Neodiprion lecontei: one gene and its partners. The protein of the gene in region 1 purifies or fractionates together with the protein of each later gene. This does not show direct contact. Links are inferred from orthologs where the notes say so. Each region holds a gene or a part of one and is shown in the gene's direction. Other genes may lie near its edges.

Region 1 (6,980 bases):
GATGGTTTTTTCTTGAATTACCTGCATGAAATTGTAAAAATAAATGGCATAGTTAATATTTTTAACTTCATCTGTGACAGAAAGAAGGATTACAAATACCACGCAAAACTTTTTTTAAATTACGCAAAGCACGAGGTTTGACATTTGCTTTACAATTTTATCTGAGGTGAATACAGATAGGCTGAAAAACATCGTAAAATAATGATTATATACCTGTATTTTTTAACAGATATCAACAAATAGCTCGATCTATTGATTGGAATAACTAATACAACAATAAAAAATAAAAGAACTTGCAGCTTTGTGAATAGGTTTCAATCTGGCATAAAAAATAGTTCAACACTTAGTCTTTTTATTGAAAGAAAATCTATTGAGCCATTGAGGCTATGTTTGGTAGCGTGGATCGAGGTCTGACATTTGTTTTACTATTTAGGTCATAGCTTGACAAGGTTCGAACATGTACCTACATCAGCGAATAGAAATTAAAATCACAGGTAGAAGTGACTAAAAACGAAAGCTACATCGTAAATGAGGAGTATCGAAATTTTTTTTTATTTTCAAACTTTCTTTCTGCTTCTTTTTTTTATTCCTTCGTGATTTCATCGCGCGCAATATACATAATGTTACGAGTCGGTATTCTGGATTGGGGAAAAAAATTGAAAATTAAAAAAAAAAAAAAATGTGAACGTAAGAGACCGCGATCGAGTCCTAAATTGCATTTTGAATAAATTACAGTTTTCATGCGGTGACCCATATTAGGTGTACATGATTTCCAAGGTTAGTTGGTGTTTGTTGAAAATATTGTTTCTCACCTGAATTTGTCCTCGTAGAGTTGCCCGACGTGTCGTCAACAGAGCCGTTCCTAGCCCTTGTTATGCCTATGCAGCCTCCCATCCTAGGCGGCGAAAATAACCAAACATTTCACTGGAATTTACCAACACCTTACATGCCATTTTCGTCCATCTTTACCTATTTTATCATTCCGCCACAACGCGCGCTGCCATCACACAAAACCTTGTTAAAAAATCTCTTGCAGCTCGAACTCCTAGGACGCCTGCCTGGGTTGTTTCCAGTGAATGACGTATATGGTCTATGAAGAGAGACGACGACGTGACGGGAGGGTTGCACAAGATGATAGTAATAAATAATAATAAAAATAAGCGAAAAGAATAGTTTTTTTTTAAAACACGATTGTAAATTACTCCGTAGAAACGCGGACCTTCGACTGGCCGTGTCGTTAAATTTAATAGGCTACAATTACTGCTTTCTGTTTATTAAATTTAACCCGTTAAGATTTAACAGTTATCAAAAGAAAATTATATATGTGGATGTAAAAAGAAAGCACGATAATTTAAAGAATGACAAAATAAATCGTGGTTAGGGGGTGACTGTATTATTATATTGAAATCACGAAGTAATTAATTGTTTTTCAACTTCAGACGTTTCTTTTTTTCTCTCTCTTTCTATTTTATCTTCACGAAGGTTTCCTCATACGCATATGTATATGCTGGAAGTCAGAGATAATAACCTGCGGCGATTTTTCGCATGTAATGTTATTATTAGAATTCATAAGATATCAATAGAAACTTGAATCGTCAAGGACTTTGATAAATTAGACGTCATATTTAAGAATTTGTAGATGTTTTCGTATTCATGTACGCATTCTAAAAATCATCAACTGTGCACGATATTTTACAGGGCCATGCCGCGATGTCGAATAGTGCGTAATTATTCGGCGATCGCCTTTTGTGTTGGTAACTCTACACACTGATCACTCACGGTATTGAAAAATTCAGGGTGAAATATGGAGGTTTCAGCGAGCTCCTCACTCACCGAGAAGTTATCGGCAGCTTTAAAGAACGATAACGACTTGATTAAGGAATGTCAAGATATAGCCTCAGGTATGCATTATCATAATTACTTGACTAATGACGCGCCTGCTGACCTTGAAATATCAGGCAAAACAAACTTGTTGGGACTGAGGTTATCTTCTGTCTCTATCGCTCTGTCTTCATTTCGGAAAATGCATTCCATCAAAATTTTCAAAATGATCAGCTGACATGAAGAATATTCAATTTTTCGTTGGTCCCATATATTTTGTTCAGTAAATAATTATCCGTCGATCAAACCTCATGTTTTCACCTGCGAAGTATCTACTCTGCGATCGATACATCTCTCATTTCATATTTTCAGATATAGAATATGGAAAATTGAAGCTTGTGATTTTCGTTGAGGAACTCGCTCCGTTTCTCACTGACAAAAATGTTACTTCGAGAGCTCAGGGAACGCTTGCGTTGTCAACAACCCTGAAGCACTTGTCGAAAGATTTTCTAAATGAAAATGAGCTAAATTTTATCACAAATTTTTACTGTGATCGGATGAAGGATCAGCATGAAGTTATTCCATCGGTTTTACAGGGTGTCCTGACTATCGTGAGCTCTTATATTCAATATTATGTTTTAAAATAAATATCAATTCTCAGTCATCAATTTTCCTCTATAATTCACAATATGAACCAGTGATTACTAATTTTCACTACTTTCAAAATGTTACAGGTACAGATGAGCCGTTTACCTCAAGATTCGCCTGCTAGATTGTTGAACCTCATGTTTCAGCATGTACATTGTCAGTCACAGCTGCAGCCTATTCGAAAGTTGATATATTTGATATTCCAAACACTCCTACAAAATAGAAAAGATGCCTTACGTTCCATGGGGCCTGATTTTATATACGGAGTAATTTCATCTATAGACGGCGAACGAGATCCAAGAAATTTGATGCTGTTATTTGACATGCTTCCAAATTTTATTCAAGAATTTCCATTGGGCCATTTGACAGAGGAAATGTTTGAAGTTATTGCTTGTTATTTCCCAGTTGATTTCAATTCCGTAAGTAGCCCTAATCATGAAATTTTCAATTTTTGGTTAGTATGAAATTTTAATTCCTGTTTTATAATTATTCGACATTTTTTCATCTTGTAAATTTTTCAATCAATTTTACAGTCTGCATCAGAGGCTCAAACAGTTACTCGTGATGATTTGGCGTACGCCCTAGCACCTTGCCTTTACGCCTCTCCAGAATTTGCCGAATTTTGCATACCTCTCATAATCGAGAGATTAGACTCGAGCTTAAGACTAGCAAAACTAGATTCATTGTATCTTTTACGCAAAGGTGCTTCTACCTATGGAGCCTCAAGATTGCAACCACACCTTGCTGAATTATGGCCAATTATACGAAAAGAAGTCTTCCCAGGCGGGGATATTGAGATGAGAAATGCTGGATTAGAAACTATAACTGAATTAGTTAAAGTGTTGTCCACAGATGATGTAATACGAGACAGTTTCATCGAAAAAGTTATCACAGATACAAAATCATCACTGTGTGACGTTCAATTGAGCCTTTATTGGCCGGCTGAAAAATTGTTGGAAGCAGTCGCTAAGGCAAATAAATTAGCTTGTGCCCAAGTTTTGAAAACCTTTATACCATTGTGCCTTGGTCAATATTCAACAAAGACTTCTTACTCGGATAGAGTTACCTTAACAGAAAGTTTGAATAGTTTGATGGCAATATGCGAAGAGCAGAGATTTGTAATAAATAGTATGTCAATGCATTCAGCTCACATCAAACTTAGTAAAACAATGCACAATTTTTAATCTGTTACGTTACCAAATTTTACAGGTGTGCCCGAACTTGCTTGGACAGATATACCAACATTGTACTTGAATGCCTTAAATACTGATAATATTGAGCTAAAATTGAAGACTTTCTCTGGATTGGCAATACTGAAATCGTCGTTGAGTGACGTGGCCAGAAAACTTCTGTATGAAAAAATTTGTATGGCAGTAGATGATGGAAATAATCAACTAAAGAACACATGCCACATATGTCTGTCAACTTTTGCTAAAATTTATCCAAACGAAATTCTGGGTACCGTTATAAACCAACTAGCTATCAATGACTGTAAGCTTGAGATATTCATTAGCAAATTAACGTACACCACTTTTCTTATAATTAATTTCTTCAGTTGGATAAGACTAATGAATTAAAATTATTTCCAGCAAACACTGATAATACGGTATTTACTCACCGATTGCAAGCCTTATGTGCTGTAGCAAAAATACCAGAATTAGGTCCACAAATCCTACCTAATGTAGTAGTGGTAGCTATGTCTAATAAATTGGAAAAGAGTATCGCAGCACTGTGTTGTTTGCGAAAACTTGTAGCTGGGAGAAGCGATACATTCAGTATACAACATTTTTTGTATAAAAATTGTAACATTGTTGAGTTATTGGTATCAGCAGATACAAGTGGCTGCTCCACTCAAAAATTAAATTTAATTGCATCGATTTGTCGATCTATAGTTAGAAAGTTGGATGTGAAGGACCAACAACAAATTGTAAATAAATATGTTTCAATTCTTAGTGAAAAACTTTCCGAAAGCAATGTGATTGTATTGGAAGGACTTTTAACACCATTGCAAAGAAATGTTGATATTGCTAATAAGGTAAACTTGTTAAAAAATCTATTACACCTTGCAATCAACAGCGTCAGTTCGAGTTCTAAAGAAGTATCAAGTAAATTGATATCAGTATTGATAAATAAACAAACCGAAGACAAAAATTTCCTAATAGTTTTAAATATGCTGAGGGACCGTATCAAAAACATTTTGGAACACGATTCGAATACCGAGCTCAAAGAGTCAGCCATCTTATTGAATACGTGGCTGACGAAAGCTTTGGTTGTCAGAGGAAGCCAAAATTCTCAAGAGTATCTTGATTTCGTAAGTATAAGAAGACGTAATTCAACTTTACTTTGTACCATTTTATGTCACATGATATATTGCATATTTTCTACATCGGAGAATGAAAATTATGTACTAATCAAGATTTTATGTTTCTTATAGCACATAAATTTGCTGAAGGACATGGAAATGGGTCACAATGTTGCAAATGGTTTTAAAACTCTATCTGATAGGTTTGAGGATACTGTGACTGAAGAGAACTTCTGCAATGTTAAATTATTCTACAAACAGAGGATATTTCAGAATGTCATTCAAAAAAACAACGACTTTGATGCACAATCAAGAGAAAACTACCTAATGGCTCTAACACATTTAATCGAGGAAGTTCCAATGGAACTATTGCTCATGCATTTAGAGCCGGTAATATATATTTTATTTAATTTTAATATAACAATAATGATTATAGAGTTTACCAATTTATCACACGCGTGATAATTAATGAATTTACACTGCGATACATCATACTGTTATTTCAATGTGTTTGAATCTTTTTTTTTTTGAAGCTTATCCCACTCCTAATTGAATCCATGGCACTGGACAGCTCAGAGTTAATTCTGTCGACACTAGTGACCCTGAAAGTTTTGCTGGACACAGGGCACAAGATCTTCCATGAGCAAGCACAACACTTTATTCCCAAATTACTGAGTCTGACGAAACGTAGGGAAATGGTAATAATGATTCGCAGAAAATTTTCATAATTGTGCTTAAGTTTTAACTTGAAAAAAATTTGATCTTATTCCAATGGGTTTCATCAGAGTACCTTACCCTGAATACAAGTATCCAGTTTTACCTAAAATCCATGCTAGTTTTCAAACTTCGACTATTGTTTTATTTTTCAGAAAGTCAGAACTGCTGCATTGGAATGTTTGTTGCATTATGCAAACTACCCGACTGTCTTGATTCTACCTTTTAAAACGGATGTCTTGGAGCGATTAGCTGTGGCGATCGACGATCGAAAACGTTTGGTCAGGTCAATCGCTGTGAAAGCAAGAACTCGCTGGTATCTTGTTGGGGCACCAGGAGAACCGAAACAATCTTAACTCAGACGGAATAGCCGATTGTTCAATTCATTATTATAGTTTCATTTACACAAATGAATTTAAGAAAGGAAAATTGAACTTTGCCTGAACAGTCTAGATAGAATGCAATGAAAATTGCTTCCTCAGGCGAGTCTTCCCTGAAGACCTTTATCGTGGTAGCTGATGCCAATGTGTGATTTCAGACAGTTTCTGCCGTTACTGTCTTTTATTTTTGGGAAATTCTATAGATATTGATCTGTACTATAGTATCCAATGTTACCTTCAATCGTCCGTAAGGTACAGGCGAAAGACTTATCACGTAATAATATGATTTATTGCATGAAATCATAGAATAATGACCTATTGCTTCTTTGAAGTATTTCACAATTTTTATTCATTCTAACAACCGCAAATCAAAGTGATTTCCTGTTGCATATTTAACTGGAGTACTTTGCATTTGAAGTATTGCTAAAACGCCCAAAAGTTTTTAAGAATAAAAAAATATTGATACTGTCTCATGTTTTAACATAAAGGTTGTACAGTGTGTTGAAGAGAAGTAGGTACTTGCTAAAGATATGGAATATATGCACATGTCGATTTTACAAATGTCCTATTAAGTGTAGGTATGTAAATAAATTATGTGATTTCTGAAAATTTGAGATTGTTCTCAAGTATGCGTTTATTATGTCAGTTAATAAAGTAACTATTTTTTACGGTTGAAATCAGGTGGCATGGTTAAACGATAGATTTGTGTTTTCATTATATTTCTTTACAATTTTCAATAAAACTTCGTAGGTACAGAATCTATAAAATAACAATCTGCTCCAACTATACCTAATTGAATCAGGCATTGATCTGGAGTAATTGGATTACTTGTGGAAGCCACATTTAATGTGTTTAGTGTGCCGATACAATGGTTGACGGTAAGAGGTGCCCGATATTTCGTCTGTTATATTTTTAAAAAAATTATTCCCCGTCTACAAAGTAGAACTGTAAAAAAAATATTTATATTTAAACTATTCATCATTGCCCTATCAACAAAATTTTTCACAAATTTAGAAACCTAATCTGAATATGATAGCAAAATGTATCCAGCAGGTGGTGTGGCCAAGAACGGTGCTTACAAATATGATGATGGTACAAGGTACGTTGGTGATTGG
Region 2 (4,971 bases), on another chromosome or scaffold:
CTCACAGAAATTTAAATCAAAGATTCAGAATCAAATTCCATAGAGTCTGTTTGTACTTATACTATTATTAATCAGTCATTCGAACATCGATTTATCGTCAATTTTTATAGTAAAGATTATCGATCGTAAAAATTTTCCAAACCACGATATTGCAACATATAAAGTACCTATATGAAAACCAATTAAGATCGGTATTAATCTGTTGAAAAAATAGGAACGAGAATATTTATAATCTATAGTGAAACCATTTACACGAATGACAACGTCAATACATCTTTAAATATATTGCCAATACTCATCTCACAGAGTTAGCACATTTAGAAACATTTTTTATCAATTGCTTGTGATTAGGATAGTGAAGTAGCTTTTTTGTCTAGCTGATAGCATTAGTATACCGTTATCAAAATAGACTTTAATGTTATGGCTACGCGGATTTCCATATACAAATAGCTAAATTTCCTGCGCAATACATGTACAGAAGGTGTTTTAGCTGATAGGTAATCTCGAATCCGTATCCTTCACCCACTACCGTGTGCCAGGATGCTCCAAATTTTTTGTCCATCGTTTCCTTAATCATTTTCGAAGCACTCTCGTAATTATCCGCGTACTTCTCGGCTGCCGTTACGCATAACTCCATCGCTTCCTGTTTCATCTCGTCGCTCATGTCACATTTCTGTTGGAACAAACAATAAACAACAAAAATAAAAATACAAGAATGCCCCATTAACTTCAATTTCCACTGAAAATGTTTATTTATTGAACGACTGTGAAAATTAAATTTGAATTCAATATTATACACTTGATTCTAAGTTCATTTGTTAATCTTAATTTCTAATTACACAAAAAGATGCAAAGATATTGCATCAAAATTAGAGAAGAAATCAATTGCTCGAATACATGATTCGAATTTGTTTATTTTTATTTTCGAGAAAAATTTAATGTACATTATAATTACGTTTAGATATTTGTAATTGAATGGGGATTGAAACTCACGCGACACAAGGGATACGTATGAAGTATTTTGACGACATCGTCCTTCTTGACTTCCGTCATCGTTCTGTTGTTTATTTTTATAATTCAATCTCAATCGTAGTTATAATTGCATTACACTATTAATTGTATGTGCGGCAACACACGACGAAACACCTGTGTTACACTGATGCAGAGAAAATTGCCGTGAAGCAGGCGAAATTGGGGCAAAATTATTGCGCTCGTGACTCATGCGGAGTCGTGAAATCAGATGTCAAGTAGGAAACGGGGCGTTGGGCATTTGGCAGAAAGGGAGGAGGCAAAATATTTACTTCCCAAGGCAACAGGGAGGAAGAATCACCCCCCACGTATCTATGCACTCGATTTCGTCATCGTGAATGGTGAAAGAATAGGCGCCGGCGCAATCGCGACATCGCACGCTGTGTTTTAATATTGTCCGTTTCGATTGTTGTTCATATACAGGTATATGGAATGTCAACGCTCGAGAACTCGTAATATATCTATAATTTAAAACAATCAAATTCCTTAATTTTATCTCGTAAGCAAAATACAATTAATAGTGCTCGTAATTCATGGTCAAAAAGAGCCAAGCAATTGTGTTGCGTCTAAGCTGTTATTGACTACAGTTGCAGTTTATTTTATTGCAAGAGTTTTACCGTCTGTGTAGATTTCAAAATATAATGACAAATTTCTTTTACAAAACTCAAATCAATGCGAATCCAGATGAATTGTATTCAGAGTTGCAATGTGTATTATTTGCCACCAGATGGATTCGAAAACGCTCTTTCCCACTGTTGGTCATTGTTGCTTCTAAAAGTGTAAAGTGGCGCCACCCGCGATTACCGAGCTATTACTGTATTGTATAAGTAACATTAGCTTGACGCTAGTACACTGGGAAAATCACGCAGTTTGTCGTGTGCGCAAGTGATAGTCATTGATGTATTGCGAAGTATACACCTGATATTCCGACTGATTTCAATATAAAGTTTTAAAACATGGCATCACGATTTAGTGGTGCTCTGCAATTGACGGATTTAGACGATTTCATAACTCCGTCACTGGTAAGTTTAAAAATATGTTATTCCCGTAGAATATCACCTAAACTTTTGTATTTGCATGTCCAGTTTCTCGAGCGTATAAGAATAGGCGCTAAATTCGAATTTGTTTTACAGGAGTGTATAAAACCAATTGAAATACCAAAGTCGAAGGCTAAGACAGGGGCTAAAATAAAAATACAGGAAGACGGAGCTTATGTAGAATTAAATGAGGTTCGTCTGTTAATAATGAATATTATAAATGCTGTCCTTTTATATAGTCAGAACTAATACCTTTTCACACTTCCGAAACTGAACCGAGCATGTTTCACCCAATTAATTATTTTTATTTCTTTATCACAGTCTGGTACTTCGGAAAAACTTCAGAAAGTCGAGATCACTTTAGCCGACTGCTTAGCTTGCAGCGGCTGTATAACATCGGCCGAAAGCGTTCTTGTTACTCAGCAGAGCCAAGAGGAACTTCTGAGGGTCTTACAGGAAAATCAGAACTTTCGAGAGGTAATGCATTATATCTACATCGTACTCCTTGTTTCTCGAATGGAGGCAGAGTCGATAAAAAGTTGGTCACAATCTATTCTCAAATTAATGACAACGTTTTGATGTTTCACAGAATGGAAAACAAGAAGAGGCGAGATTCATCGTAGTGAGTTTATCAGTACAGCCAGTTTTGTCGCTAGCCGAGCGCTATGGTTTGGATCCAGAAAGCGCTACCCGGAAATTAGCTGGTCATTTTCGTCAATTGGGAGCAGATATGATATTGGACATGACTGCAGCAGATGATTTTTCTCTGCTGGAATCAGCGAGAGAATTTATTGAAAGATATAAGTCTTCTCAGGATAATGTCAAAGGTCAAATACCGATGCTGGCTTCGTCTTGTCCAGGTATAGCTTATTTTTTACCGAATACTGTGACTAAAAATTCCGACAGTTGTGTATTATTATAATCCATCCAGGTAATTTCTTTCTTTGTACAATTAGGCTGGGTTTGTTACGCGGAAAAGACTCACGGAAATTTCATACTGCCCTATATAAGTGTGACAAAATCGCCACAACAAGTAATGGGTTCTTTGGTCAAATACCATTTGACCAAGTACAAAGGGCTACCTCCTGAGCGAGTATATCACATCAGCGTGATGCCCTGTTATGATAAAAAATTGGAAGCCTCTCGAGAAGATTTTTACAATGAACTTAAGCAGACCAGAGACGTCGACTGCGTGATTACGTCAAGTATGCAATATTAGTAAAACGTGTCGAGATGCATTATTGTGAATTTATTCATCTTCATTGTTCGTGATTATGAATTTTGTTTTTTTTCAGTTGAATTGGAAAACATGTTGATTAGTCAGGGAGTGTCATTGAACGATGTTGAAAGTGGTGAAATAGACCGACCTTTTGGTGCATACAACAAAGAACAATCTGACAAAATACTTTGGGGACATCAAGGCTCGGGATCAGGTGGCTATGCTCATTTCATATTCCAGTACGCCGCTTATCATCTTTTCCAAGAAGCCAATACTACTGTTGAATTTAAAAATCTAAGAAATCCAGATTTCAAGGAGGCAGTTTTGGAAAAAGATGGAAAAATTTTACTCAGGTTCGCTATTGCCAATGGCTTTAAAAACATTCAAAACCTCGTTCAGAAACTTAAAAGAGGGAAGTCTCCGTATCACTATGTTGAAGTTATGGCCTGTCCTTCAGGTAAGTCTCATTCAAGCGACAAAGCATATTTCAATATTCGTTTCTTAAAACTTGGTTTTTTTCTCATCTTTATAGGCTGCCTCAACGGTGGAGCCCAAATACGACCTCAGGATGGTTTACAGCCACGTGAATTGGCCGCTAAACTTGAAACAGTTTATCACAGTCTTCCTTTAAGTAAACCAGAAGAAAATTGTGTTACATTAAGTTTGTACACTACGTGGCTTGAAGGCGAGCACTCCGACAAATCCGCTGCTTTCCTCCATACGCAGTATCATGAAATAGAGAAGATGAATACGGCACTTGCGATTAAGTGGTGAAATGTTCCACAAGAATGGCACAACTAATAACTAAGTAGGTAATTCTCCAAATTGGTATAAGGTAAAGAACAAAATTGGATGATTTGTATTAGCAATTACGATATATTAATATTTATAAACATCTTTATCATTTGAAATATATTTACAAATTAAAATCATATGAAATAAATATGTGGTACAATACTGAAGTAAATCGACACATATTTCATGCCAGAACAACAAGTTTTGAGTTCGAGTGTTATTAAGTGTTACTCAAAAAATCTATCTAAGAATTAAAATTGTACTGTTTGTGTGTATTATGCGAAATTACTAATATTTTTCGGTTTCTCATCTATTCTACATAGTGTTATTATCACGTTACTAACATTAACTTCCAGTTATATACAGGTATGTTGCATTAGTTCGGAAAAAAGTTAATATCATTCTCTTTTATGTTTCACATCCCTGATTACAATTCTGATTAATGAATATATCCATAATATAAGGTAATCACGTCGATGCAACTTCGAAAGAATTATGCCATTTTTCTCTCTCTATTTTTCCATATCCAAATAAGTTCATACTTTGAAATCTGTTATTTGAAATGTTATTACATCTTACTTTACGGTATTGCTTTCCATTTTTTCGAATTGGACCATTTGTTTTATGTAACCACATATTTTGCAATTCATTAATTTTAATTTTCAATCAAAATTTTCTGAAATGAATACCAATCAATTCCACATTTCACGAAAACAAAGATTTCAATCTAGTAAAGCCCTTTGCATTCTTCAACAAACCATTTTAAATGAAATTCAATTCTCAATACAAGCTAATATTTATTAAAATCATAAATCGTACTGGGTGCTCTGTGTTACTTCCGTTTTATGCATCATCAATCGAGTAAGATTTCTATACAGATATGTATATATA
Region 3 (4,564 bases), on another chromosome or scaffold:
ACTTCGAATTACACTGCGTTATACAACAGGCATATATACATATATTATGATATTCATATTACGTATGAATATTACGTTTGTGCTTCGGTAATATTCCAGTAAAGACGTAATACGGAGAATTTCAACAATTATTGCCACAACCCTTTGGAAACACAATTTCTTGTCGTCCGAATGGTTTTTCTTCTTGCTGATGTCATACTACAGATTTTTACATCCCCGAATTTAGGATATTTCAGGTTTTGAAATTCTGCTCTTTCGAATTTAGACGTAATACAAGAAAAATATAAATCTTTCTAATGTCTGGAAAAAACTTCAATTTTGAAATAGTTAATGTATTTTTATTTAAAAGTCAGATTTTGTTATTAACAGAATTTTAGAATCATATATCTGTATCTGAAATGAACGAAAGGTGTGTCAATTCTTATAAACAACTATCGCTTCTACACGATCTTATTTTGCTTTTAAGGGAGGTTCAAAACCATCTGTATAATACCTGTACATATTTATTTTTAGCCGATTCTAAAACATTTTTGTGCACAAAAATGATGTTGACGTTGCAATATTGCAAGTATTAAATTTTACAACTATAATTTGAAATTAAATTGTCTCTTTTTGCAGAGCTATTATACATATAATAAATATTATATAGTTGATCTCACACGTATTAAAGTAAAAAAAGCGAACAATGTTGTGAGATGACTCGCATTTAATAATTCTATTAAACGTAATATTAGCTTGGGAATCTTGAATGAAAAAATCTATTTTCAATTTAAACTTGAGTATACGATTGAAGCCTAGAATGGATCTATTAACGTAATCGTGAAACATATTTTCTGGCACGAGAATTCGATATTTTGATTTTTTCTTTTAAATCCGTATTAGATTATACTCAGATCATGTTAATCCTCGAAAAAATGTCGTACCACCGCGGTAGCTTCATTCGATGAAATATTAGAATCCAGTGATACCTATTATTTTCGAGAATTGTTTCTCAGTTCATAAAATATATAAACACATGAATGATGTAATAAATTCCTTTATTATTTTTAAACAAAAATTCCAAGTTTCAACTTAACGACGAATGCTATTAGATTCGTAATCCATCAAGGCATGTCTTGCGATTAATTCATAGGTTAAAAATAGGTTCAATTGAATCGTCCTATCGCCCCTAAATTTTGAGTTATATATGCGGGTAATAACACAAAAAAGAAATCACGAAAAACACTTGTCCGGTGGATTAGATCACATCTCGATATATCGTTGCAAATACTGAACCCGAATCCGTAGTCAGAATCGCTCCGTCACCCCAAATACTTCGGTGTTCAAATTATAGTGGAATACCCCATACACGACTCAAAATCTGTGTGTAACGGAACAATTCTGACCCCAGATTCGTATTCCTCATGTTTACACAAGTACGATCGTCTAGTCCGCCGAACAAGTCGCGTTATTCGCGTGCCTGTGCTACTCTCTTTCCGTTGCGTGGCGTTCGAAATTCGAAACTTGTCGTGTGTCCCGCGCCGAGTGTCGAGGAATCGATTCTCCCGAACGACGGTCGAACGTCGAAGCGTCGAGTGCCGAGCGAAAGTCGGCCCCGCTAAGCTCCGGCTATTTGTGTCCTCTAACCTCAATGTTTACCTTCGGCGTTCGCCGACAAACCAGCAGATAGGTCATCACCGGGCGATGATCATCGTTCTGGCAGCGATATTCATCATCGTCTGTGTCTACTCAGGATCCCTCGCCTTCGTAAGACGGCGCCTCGATCCTCCGTCACCGTGAGTATTCGCTAAAATCTTGACGTTTGAGGTTAGATTCGCACCCCGTATCGCTCCCCCCTATCTTATCTGTGTATATTATCGCTCCATCTCTCATCGTCATCGTCGCCACTCGTGGCCTTACGGCGAGCTTGCTGCTCGCATTATCAGCCCGTGTCACTCCGTTCCTCTCGTTTGGCCTTATCCGCGTGCATCAGTCAACGACACATCGAGTCGCGTGGTCGCGCGGAGTCAGAGAGACGCATGCGTAGCTTTATTTTGCTTCATATGTGTACGCCACGGATTTCTCCTGTACACGAGGTCGTGGCGTGTGTCATGGCAACGTCCACCTATTGGTGCTTACGTTTAACCGCGCATTCGTGGAACATTTTTGAACGAGGGCGGAGTAACGCTTGAAATCGTTAATTAAAATTCATTGTGTATTTGCTGTTTTGCATTCGCCATTTAGATCAGATTTGTACGTGCATTTTCAATTTTTTTTTATTCGATATTGTGTAAGATTTAGGTACTGCATTCAGCGTCGGTCACGTGTCGAATATCTCTGTTCAAATAGATCGTACAATTTTATAAAAATTTTCGAAAAAGAACGATTCCCTCTGATTCGACTAAATTATGTTGGAATTGCAAAATCTTCGTTTAATGTAACGAGCTCTGAAACTGTAATGTAATGTTTGCTTGTATCCTATCTGGAGCGTAGCGTAAGAAATTTCATGCACATACCACCGACAGTATTTGTTAAGCGCTGAATTAAATATGAATAATTTGAAAGCCGCAGAGTCCTGGTTGGTTAGTAGTAGAAAAACCCTGATAATAATATTTACAGTATACAATACCATTCGACATTTGATAATTCATTTCGCATACCTATTTTACAAATTTCATTTTAAGCTAGAATTGAAGTAAACATATCTATTTGTCCGTTTAAACGACATTTTTAGAAGCATTTTACGCTTCAATTTACCAATTATGAGTAATTAAATGTTATGTTATGGTCGATTTCCAGTCCAACGCATCGTTAGAATTGTTGACAATATTTTTCCTGTATTCATTCACCGTGAAATTACACACAGTTATTGAGGAGAAACCAAAATAGAATGATTTGAAAAATTAAAAAAGTCGTTAACGCGTAATTCAATCATTCAAAGAAAAAAAGAAAGGAAAAAAAAATAAGGTTGGAGTCAGTAAGGTTCACTTGAAAGAATATATTCAAATTGTAATATTTATTTAATATTTCGCTATTTTAGAGTAATTAATTCAGGAGATGTGTTTTCAAAATAGAATTATGCAATCTTTTATTACGGTTTTTGTAGTCAGCTGATACTTTTCTGATGGAATGACAATTTTTCCTAAAAATAAATTGTGCCATCAACGTTACGAACTTCAATGGCGTCAAAAAAAGGAATTACGAATTAGACTGACTTATGAGAATTATTTTCAAATCATGAAACACCTTCAAAAATATTTTTGATCCAAAAAGACTGTAATTTTGATTTAATATCTCTGACCACCCCTACTTTTTAACTCATTTTATTGAGATAAATTCAAATGCGTTTCTGGATCAAGATGCCGTAATATTTGGATATTTAAACACATTAATTGAGAGGAACAATATTGTTTGAAAAAATTTCAGCGGTCAGTAATTTGAGATGAATCCGGTTTCTCAGTAAATTTTTTTCACGCAGCGAAAGAGCGTTTTTGGGTGAAAAATACAGACTTTGTAAAGAATTCGTAGTTGAAAAACGAATAAATTTATTTATAAATGTTAGAAAAATGTGGAAAACAAGTGAGGAATAATACGCGATTCCATTATCACTTCGTGACTACTGGAACGAAATTAGTTGCCGCAATTAGTCGCGTAAGAAGAACAACGAAACGAACTTCCATTGCTTGGGGAATTCCGAAATGAAATTGAACCAACTTCTGACAGGTTAAAGCCCCAGTTTTTCCTTGTCAACCCTTTTTTCACTCCGTATTGCCTCAGATCGACATATGGCAAGCTACTCCGGTGTCAAATGTATCCTACAACTCGAATTCAGCAGTATCGAGCATGTGTGAAAGGGACAACTGCATGCGATGGAATTGCGGTGTAGAAATATAACGATCACTTTATGCACCTATATTCCATCGGAACTTGTCGTCTTGCGAGTGCACAGTGAAATATACGACACGCGGTGCAGTCCATTCAACGACGTTGTAAAGAAAAATGAGCCCGCGACACAGCTGGCAGAGGATGTAGCGTGTCGAGAAATGCCATGTGCAGCGCGAAACGCCGAAACGTTCGTCTCGATTATCGTCGTCTTAGAGTGTCTTCTTGTACATCTTCCTAATTTTTTTCATTTTCCTTACCTCCGCTTCCCGTGTACGTACGCGGCATTTGTCAAGTACTTACCCTAATTCATGTAGAAAAGGCTTTCCGCTGTTATTATAAAGCATCGCTCGTTTTCAGGTGCAGGACTTTTATTGCGACACCACACGAGACATCTTATATATTGTGCACTCTTTTTACTGTACCTATGAATGAAGATTTGAATCCAAGTTGAAGGTGGGAAAGAAATAACCTAGAATTTTATTTATGAAGATACTGCGGAGTTTTGTTCTTGGAGAAAATTTACAGCTTTGAAAATGCTCAATGAATCCGCCGGCGTGCTTGACGCGGAGCTTGCGTCATTAAAAATTTTAGAGTCGAGTCTAAGTTCTGTACTTGCGCACCTGTTACTCGACTTTCTTCCAAAGTTTCCAGAACTCCAGAAGTTTCTACTCCCTCGCGAAACCCTTTTACATATTCTTGT
Region 4 (7,636 bases), on another chromosome or scaffold:
AAGGCCAGGGTAAGACGCCCTTTCATGCGTGTACAATGTGTTTGTACCAAGCATTTTGACGTGGTAATGATGAAGTAAAAAATACTCTGAATAATGAACATGAATACCTGTACTCGGAATACCTGTTTAAATTAGCTGAACTACATCAATGCCGAGGGGTAGGCCATATTTTTATCTATGGTATTAGTGAATGATTCATGAAAAATAAATGGACAAGTTTGATGCGGTTTAAATATGGATAACTTAAATAATCAAATTATGTGGTCGCCAAGCTACGACCCATGCGCGTGTGCGACAGTTGGGTACAGTCGAAAGAAAAAAGTCTGGGATAATGGCGCCGAATTTTCAGTTGCTTCTTCATCCTACCAATGCGGTAAAATCTCTACTCTTTATTTCGTATACTTTGTAAGAAGCTGAATCCTCTGAAGGACTTCTGCGAAACAATTCAATTAATATAATTTATCAACTCACTATGAGACATAATGATTTGCCTGAAAGACGTCGGGATCTCTGCTGAACACACAGTTACCGCACCACGATTGTCGAAGACGCCGGATAGTCGTCGAATACTATCGCAACAACTCCCACCAACGGCCACAGCGTGATTGGCTCGAATTATACGTTATCGTCAACCCGATACATCCATGTATGAAATGGGGTGATACCCCCTGCCGAGAAAATATATGTATGATTAATTTTTATTTACTGACAGGCCAAATTTTATACTATAATCACAGGTCTGCGTCTGATTTTTTTTTTTTGGAAACAATCGCGTTAGCCCGATTAATTCATAGCCCCTGAAATCTCAACATGACTCGTTTGACCTTACATTTGTATCGCATTACTCAAAGAAACGTATTGATAAATTTACAGAATCGTGGGGTAGTGATACGTTTTCGGTTGATGTAATCATGTCTGAAATTTCGGGAGCAAAATTATTATATATGCGCTCCTATTAAAACTTGAGATTAAGAAAATCATTAATTGTTTCCAATCTAACAATAAGTAAAACTTGAATTTATCCTGTAGTTGTATTCGACAATTATACAACTGTAATAATATTTATACAACGGAAATTAAAGCTCTTGAACTATAATAATTCCAAAATTCAGAATATTTCAATCTCTCCTCGTGAATGGAAATTTTTTTTTGCAAATTTCATGATGAATTTGAATTACCCCGGATTTTCAGAACAACTGATTACCCAAAAAATTGCTCGAACGAAATTTGGGTAAAAGAAATCAACAACTTTTCCAAAAATTTTCAATGATTATAAGTTACCTTTAAATATAGCATACTTGTATATTCCTCCGCGTAAAAACTATATTGCCTTGATAGCCCATAATTAAACCAGGGAAGAAATGTCTAAAGATAATTAAAATCAGAAAACAACGTATATACTTAATTTACGAGCTGTAAATCTACATTTCATTTGTTCACAACACAATAATAAAGGGTCGCAGATCAGTAGTGTTGTATAATGAAATGTTTGTCAAGTTTCGATCGTTGCGGGATTGCTTCATTGATTTAGTTTCCTGCGTACATGTGACAGCTGGCGATAATTGTCCTTACGTGTAGTATAAAAGGAGATAAATAATATAATACGCACGACGATGAAGGAGGTTGGCGCGAGATGCCCCTCCACTCAAAAACTACTTCCCATTGGTCTTTACGGATCATTCTAACCCACGCGAGCGCTTGGCGTGCACGTTCGTTTTGGCGCTTTGGTAACTGCATCGTATACGCTAAAATTTTGTGAGTATATGAATTAAACTATTCACTCATGCATTAGCGAGTAAGAAATATTGCTTCTGCGTCAAATTGGGCTGATTTTCCACAGCTAATTTATGAGCAAATACCGACACTCGAATTTGTGCGAAAGTTATATTTATGTCGCAGCACGAATTCGACACGCGATTCGGCAACAGGTGTCCATTGCATGTTCTGTACCGTCTCATACAAAAGTATGATCTCAATCATTTGATTTTCGCATAACCTAATCAATTCCGTTCTGTTTTATCTAATATGTAAGAAATACCAATATTATATTTCTATTTCGCATTGTGTTTTGGTATATTTCTGCAATAGAAAATATACTGTATAAGGCAGAGAGAGTAAATGTTCACCTTGCAGAATAATCAAGTACGCCATATAGCATGGACAAATTTTAGTTTTTTTCGTGCGCCCGTGCCGTAACCGATGGTTTCGACTCGCATTTTTATAAATTTAATAATTATTAGTTTACAACGTCCGACTTGGGTTACCATAATATGAATGTTAATAATACTTTCCACGTCACATGGGTGGCTTTAACCTTACGGATTTCGAACCACGTGGGCGTTGGGTGTGCTTGTCATTAATTACATCATGTCTAGAGCCGATATCTACTGTTACTAATTTACAGCTTCAGATAATCAACTTAATCGTTTATAGCTTAATACTTTATCGTACAGCGGACGCATAATTACGCACGTTATACGCAATCTGTAACCACTGTACGCGATTACGTAGCAATTGTGTTATAATCATAATGATGATAATAATAATTTCATCATTGTTCGAACTAGAACTGTCGCAGTCGTTGTCATTAGAATTTAGAAACAGATTGACGTAAAATCACGCAACTGATGACAATTATGCATATCACTTCAAGTATCAGTTAATATTACAATCATGACTGTTAGTGACAATGTTCAATTCTTGTTATATATGTTGCGAAAATTTCTATACTATAATTAGTGGTAATTAGTAATTTAAGAAGAAACTTTAATCATAAGGTAGGTGAGGATAACAAATGCTGGAACACTATCTGGACTACATGTGTCGTCAGTAGAATATTATTGTATATAAAATGATATTGTGAAATTGCAAGAAATTATAAACACGTATGTGATAAAAAATAAAATAGCAAAGATGCCTTTGCAGAGGTCAAGAAAATACACAAGTTGCTTGATAATGGGGCGGGTTAATTCACCATCACTAGGGGGTCTCGTTATCAGAATGGAATGTACCAACGCTTCAAGTTGTGATTTTGCAACTGCTTTTTATGCATTCCGCATTATCAAAGATTCTGTTTGCCACTTACAGGCTATATATGACTTATTTTCTTGCAAATTTATATTTCAATTAATTTATTTGGCACTTGCGCATGGTCAGTTAAATTGCATGGAAATAGTAAAATTTTAGCCGGATAAATAAGAATTTTAGGGAAAGGCACAAGTTAAAGTAGCAACTTAAATATGAAACAGTAAAATGTGTCAAATTACATTAATGATAAAGAAAATATGAATGTCTACTCATTCAATAATTGATTTTTGAAAAATTGATCTTATTCATTTTCTAATATGTATGTGCAGTAAGTTTGATGAGATGTGATCAAATAATTATAAAGTACATCTACAGCCAAATCTTTCGAAATTTTAACTCTCAAAATTATTCAAAAAACTTTGAAGATGTTTGTCAACAATAACAAGATAAATTTCCAATACTTGATAACTCTAATGAATTTATTGAACCTACGCACTTTCCTGTTTTTTAATAATTCTTTTATTACGCAAAGCTGTGGTTTATATTCGAGGCAGTTCAAGCTGTTTATCTTTCGACTTTGATTCCTCTGTTTACAACTATGTGGGAATTACGACATTACATAGCAAATTATGCAATTCCTGTTCAACATTGTCAACATTAACTTTGTGCTAGTAAATTTAAATGTGGCAAAGGTCTTATACTGATCAATTACGTCAGAAATAATACTTTCGCAACTCACTATGCGCATGATAATATCAAAAGCGGATTGATCATTTCATTCACAGACACAAAATTCACGATATTTAATTCTTCATTCACAGAAACATACATTAAATATGTCCTGCAATGGGCCGCAAGACGATTGCACTAAGGCAATGTCTAGGCTTGCTGTGCAGACTAGACAAACAAAAAGACCTCACAGTAAAGGTGAAACACGTGGACAAAAAACTTCTGGATTAACACACGAGTGTGGTGTGTTTGGATGCATTGCTGCTGGGGATTGGCCATCACAAGTTGACGTGGCACAAGTGATTTGTTTAGGTAAATTTTTTATCTAGAATGACGTGAGCTGCAATGCTAATTACGCCCTGAATTATTTCTGACCGTGGATAAGACCGTGGAAACATCTTAAACGTACTAAACACTCAAATAATATTTAATAATTTTGATGTGCTAATTGAGTTCTTCTTTGTAACAGGACTTGTAGCCTTGCAGCATCGAGGTCAGGAAAGTGCCGGCATTGTGACGAGTAAGGGCCTTTGCGCAAAATCATTTCATGTCCACAAGGGAATGGGAATGATTAGTAATATTTTCAATGACGAAAATATCAGAAGATTGCGAGGAAATCTGGGAATAGGTCACACGAGGTACAGTACAAGCGCGGCAAGTGAAGAAGTTAATTGTCAGCCTTTTGTTGTTCACACAGCTCATGGAGCACTGGCTGTTGCACACAATGGAGAGCTTGTAAATACGGAATCCCTCAGAAAAATGGTAGGCTTCAATTTTTCCCTGAAATTGCACCACTATTAGTTTAATGTAAGATTAATAACTTCATTTTGATTTCCAATATTCGCAGAATTTATCACTCAAGCTTCCAAGAGTATTAAGCAATTTACTGATAAATTAATCACAGTGTTGAATTACGTTTTCTTTCTTTTTTTTTTTTATCACAGGTACTCAGTCGAGGAGTTGGATTATCCACACATTCTGACTCAGAATTAATTACACAAGCATTGTGTCTCAATCCTCCTGAAGGCGAAATTAGTGGACCAGACTGGCCAGCGCGGATTAAACACCTTATGCAATTAGCTCCCCTATCATATTCTTTGGTTATTATGCATAGGGACAGAATCTACGGAGTGAGAGATCCGTATGGCAATCGACCTCTGTGCCTGGGAAAAATTGTCCCCATCGGTAATCTTGGTGGGTGGTGGTGTAGAATGCAAGTGGTTTATTGTAGATATTTATTCGAACATTGTCTCGTAATTTAACACTAAACGTCCTGGCACTTTAGACTGTTGATATATTAATCATTTTAATAGCAATTTTCATATTTTGAAATGGCGTGTATTTTTTAACGGAAGAAAAAAATGTTCGTCAGATTGTTTTGTTATATTCGAGTTTTTTGAAATATTCCTTAAGTTCGACCGGATACAAATGTCTAACAAATACCTCCATAGTCTTGTCATATGTTGAAGTAGATTACATTAAATTACACGAAAACTTCAGTGCAGAGATTAAATAAAGCAATTAACCTACTATATTGATTTCTAGTATTTGTTTTGAGCTTTTTTTGTAAAATATCTGTATAGAGAACTGAAACTAGAGAGCATGCAAAATTCGCAATATCACTTTTCATGTTTGTACCATTTACTAAAAAGAAGTGTTTAATTTATAGAGAATTTTCCTGATCCTACTGCAGATTATCATTTTTCTTGCAGAGTATTCAGTTTTATCAATTTCAAATTTGCGCTACAAATAATTTACTTCGTTGTTAATTGACACAACGATAATGTATCATGAAACTCTTCATTGTATTTCTAATACGTGTAAATAAGAAATATTAATTTACTTTTCCTTCAACAGCTAATGAATCTGATGATGAGGACGAGGCTGATGGTTGGGTCATATCATCCGAGTCTTGTGGCTTTCTTAGTATTGGTGCAAGATACGTCCGGGAAGTTTTTCCAGGGGAAATTGTTGAATTAACCCGTGAAGGAATTAAAACAATTGACATAATAGAACGACCGGATAAAAAGCCACAAGCATTTTGTATATTTGAATACGTGTATTTTGCACGGAGCGACAGTATTTTTGAAGGTGAATAATTTTTTTCATATTCCTTCGTTTTTTGCAATCATCAAGAATTCATAATTTGAAATTTCTCTTATTCTTTTATTCCAGGTCAAATGGTATATTCCGTTAGGATGCAGTGTGGAAAAGTATTAGCCCTGGAATCTCCAGTAGATGCAGACATAGTTAGCTCAGTCCCAGAATCAGGCACAGCAGCTGCGCACGGATATGCCAGACAGGTGAATAGTGATTCAAACAATTTTGTATATCATCCATGAAGCCTTAGTGGTTTTGAATCCATTTCTTGAAAATATCGATATTTGTTTTTCAGTCAATGATACCCTTTGCTGAGGTTTTGTGTAAAAACAGATATGTTGGTCGTACTTTCATTCAGCCAAGCACAAGACTGAGACAATTAGGAGTGGCTAAGAAATTTGGTGCACTATCTGCAAATGTTAAAGGAAAGAAACTTATATTAATTGATGACTCGATTGTTAGAGGAAACACAATTGGCCCGATTATCAAACTACTCCGAGATGCTGGTGTTAAGGAGGTATAATTGGCATATTATATATATATGTGTTAATAAGATTGTTTATATTAGCCTGTAAACAACTGGATAAATGTAAACTTGGGAACATTTTTTGCAGGTTCATATTAAAATCGCGTCTCCACCTCTCAAATATCCTTGTTACATGGGTATCAATATACCGACACGAGAAGAATTAATCGCAAATAAATTGGATAGTATAAAATTGGCTAAACATGTTGGTGCAGATAGCTTGACTTATTTATCAGTTAAAGGGCTTGTTCAAGCAGTTAGGCATGGCATGGATAACCGAGATTGCAGTTATATCGGACATTGCACTGCATGCTTGACGGGTGAATATCCGGATGAATTACCTGGTGACTTGGACTGGTAGATACTGGCACCGAAAAATTACATATACAATATTTTCGACCGATTTGATAAAATTCTTTGAAAGTTATTTCGCTTCAATAACATTTTCGATAATTTGTCAATTTCATAATTTACATATGACCAAAAATTGAATAATGTTTCTCGTTTGGATCTTTGATACAGCAGAGCCCAGGATTTTGATAATCATTAAGCAAGCAGATGTAACACGCTGCGTAAAATATATCATTTAGAATGTAGATAAAATTGACTATTTAATTTAATTGTAGAATTAAGAAAGATACATTGTCATACTGTAGTGATCTCATTCGATCTGATTGAATGTACTGTTTTGTATCAATTATTCTGCGCTATGATATTAGCAACCAGAGGCCTTTATGTAACATACACATGTTTACTAATACATTGTAAATTACTTCTAGAACCATACTTTTGTAAACTTTGTGATTACGTTTAATGTTACGTAATTTGTACTCCATAATTTGTATATTACAAAAATGAAAAAATATATTACATCATTTGTTAGTGATATGATTCTTGTTTAAATAAGATACATTTACCCTTATACTTATACGCACACCAAAACACTACGTCGTGCTTTGAAAAATATGTATAATTATTAACAATTTCTCTGAAAAGTAATTGTCCAGTATCAACTGCGAGAATTTGCGAGATTAGAGAGCGAGTTTGATTTGAGTCGATGAGGAACGACTAGAATTGATGCCAATGCATTTATCTATTACTTGAAGAACGCGACAGAATAATTAGTTGCGAAAGAGCCCATATGTCGTAATACTTTTGAATTCAGATTTTCCTTACGAAATACTTCTGAAACTATTTTTACTACCATTACAATCGACATATTCACAACTTCATGAAAATCTGGTCTCCAAATTC

Evidence for each region.
Region 2: the proteins of MMS19 nucleotide excision repair protein homolog (region 1) and probable cytosolic Fe-S cluster assembly factor CPIJ010948 purify together in Homo sapiens (affinity purification with mass spectrometry; 3 studies listed by BioGRID and IntAct, with this or other methods). This does not show direct contact. The link is inferred for Neodiprion lecontei from reciprocal best matches to the Homo sapiens genes MMS19 and CIAO3.
Region 3: the proteins of MMS19 nucleotide excision repair protein homolog (region 1) and Fanconi anemia group J protein purify together in Homo sapiens (affinity purification with western blotting; 3 studies listed by BioGRID and IntAct, with this or other methods). This does not show direct contact. The link is inferred for Neodiprion lecontei from reciprocal best matches to the Homo sapiens genes MMS19 and BRIP1.
Region 4: the proteins of MMS19 nucleotide excision repair protein homolog (region 1) and amidophosphoribosyltransferase purify together in Homo sapiens (affinity purification with mass spectrometry; 3 studies listed by BioGRID and IntAct, with this or other methods). This does not show direct contact. The link is inferred for Neodiprion lecontei from reciprocal best matches to the Homo sapiens genes MMS19 and PPAT.

The regions. Positions count from the first base shown.
Region 1 is NC_060265.1:27,433,471-27,440,450, reverse strand, and holds MMS19 nucleotide excision repair protein homolog, read left to right. Parts: upstream 1-1,762; 5' UTR 1,763-1,804; coding exon 1,805-1,901; intron 1,902-2,193; coding exon 2,194-2,432; intron 2,433-2,555; coding exon 2,556-2,888; intron 2,889-3,002; coding exon 3,003-3,597; intron 3,598-3,678; coding exon 3,679-3,960; intron 3,961-4,058; coding exon 4,059-4,780; intron 4,781-4,903; coding exon 4,904-5,161; intron 5,162-5,304; coding exon 5,305-5,469; intron 5,470-5,640; coding exon 5,641-5,841; 3' UTR 5,842-6,476; downstream 6,477-6,980. Other genes in the region: ubiquitin domain-containing protein 1, read right to left, coding at 1-21, 813-894; MORN repeat-containing protein 4 homolog, read left to right, coding at 6,734-6,743, 6,916-6,980. UniProt on the Homo sapiens protein: Key component of the cytosolic iron-sulfur protein assembly (CIA) complex, a multiprotein complex that mediates the incorporation of iron-sulfur cluster into apoproteins specifically involved in DNA metabolism and genomic integrity.
Region 2 is NC_060264.1:4,193,988-4,198,958, forward strand, and holds probable cytosolic Fe-S cluster assembly factor CPIJ010948, read left to right. Parts: upstream 1-1,854; 5' UTR 1,855-1,985; coding exon 1,986-2,051; intron 2,052-2,162; coding exon 2,163-2,258; intron 2,259-2,387; coding exon 2,388-2,543; intron 2,544-2,655; coding exon 2,656-2,926; intron 2,927-3,022; coding exon 3,023-3,271; intron 3,272-3,361; coding exon 3,362-3,742; intron 3,743-3,817; coding exon 3,818-4,059; 3' UTR 4,060-4,456; downstream 4,457-4,971. Other genes in the region: dynein axonemal light chain 4, read right to left, coding at 425-673, 994-1,053.
Region 3 is NC_060262.1:26,772,822-26,777,385, reverse strand, and holds the start of Fanconi anemia group J protein, read left to right. Parts: upstream 1-1,560; 5' UTR 1,561-1,683; coding exon 1,684-1,775; intron 1,776-4,564. UniProt on the Homo sapiens protein: DNA-dependent ATPase and 5'-3' DNA helicase required for the maintenance of chromosomal stability. Acts late in the Fanconi anemia pathway, after FANCD2 ubiquitination.
Region 4 is NC_060262.1:24,779,015-24,786,650, forward strand, and holds amidophosphoribosyltransferase, read left to right. Parts: upstream 1-1,599; 5' UTR 1,600-1,755; intron 1,756-3,848; 5' UTR 3,849-3,863; coding exon 3,864-4,068; intron 4,069-4,225; coding exon 4,226-4,518; intron 4,519-4,700; coding exon 4,701-4,950; intron 4,951-5,613; coding exon 5,614-5,847; intron 5,848-5,931; coding exon 5,932-6,059; intron 6,060-6,151; coding exon 6,152-6,373; intron 6,374-6,470; coding exon 6,471-6,743; 3' UTR 6,744-7,268; downstream 7,269-7,636. Other genes in the region: multifunctional protein ADE2, read right to left, coding at 472-481. UniProt on the Homo sapiens protein: Catalyzes the formation of phosphoribosylamine from phosphoribosylpyrophosphate (PRPP) and glutamine.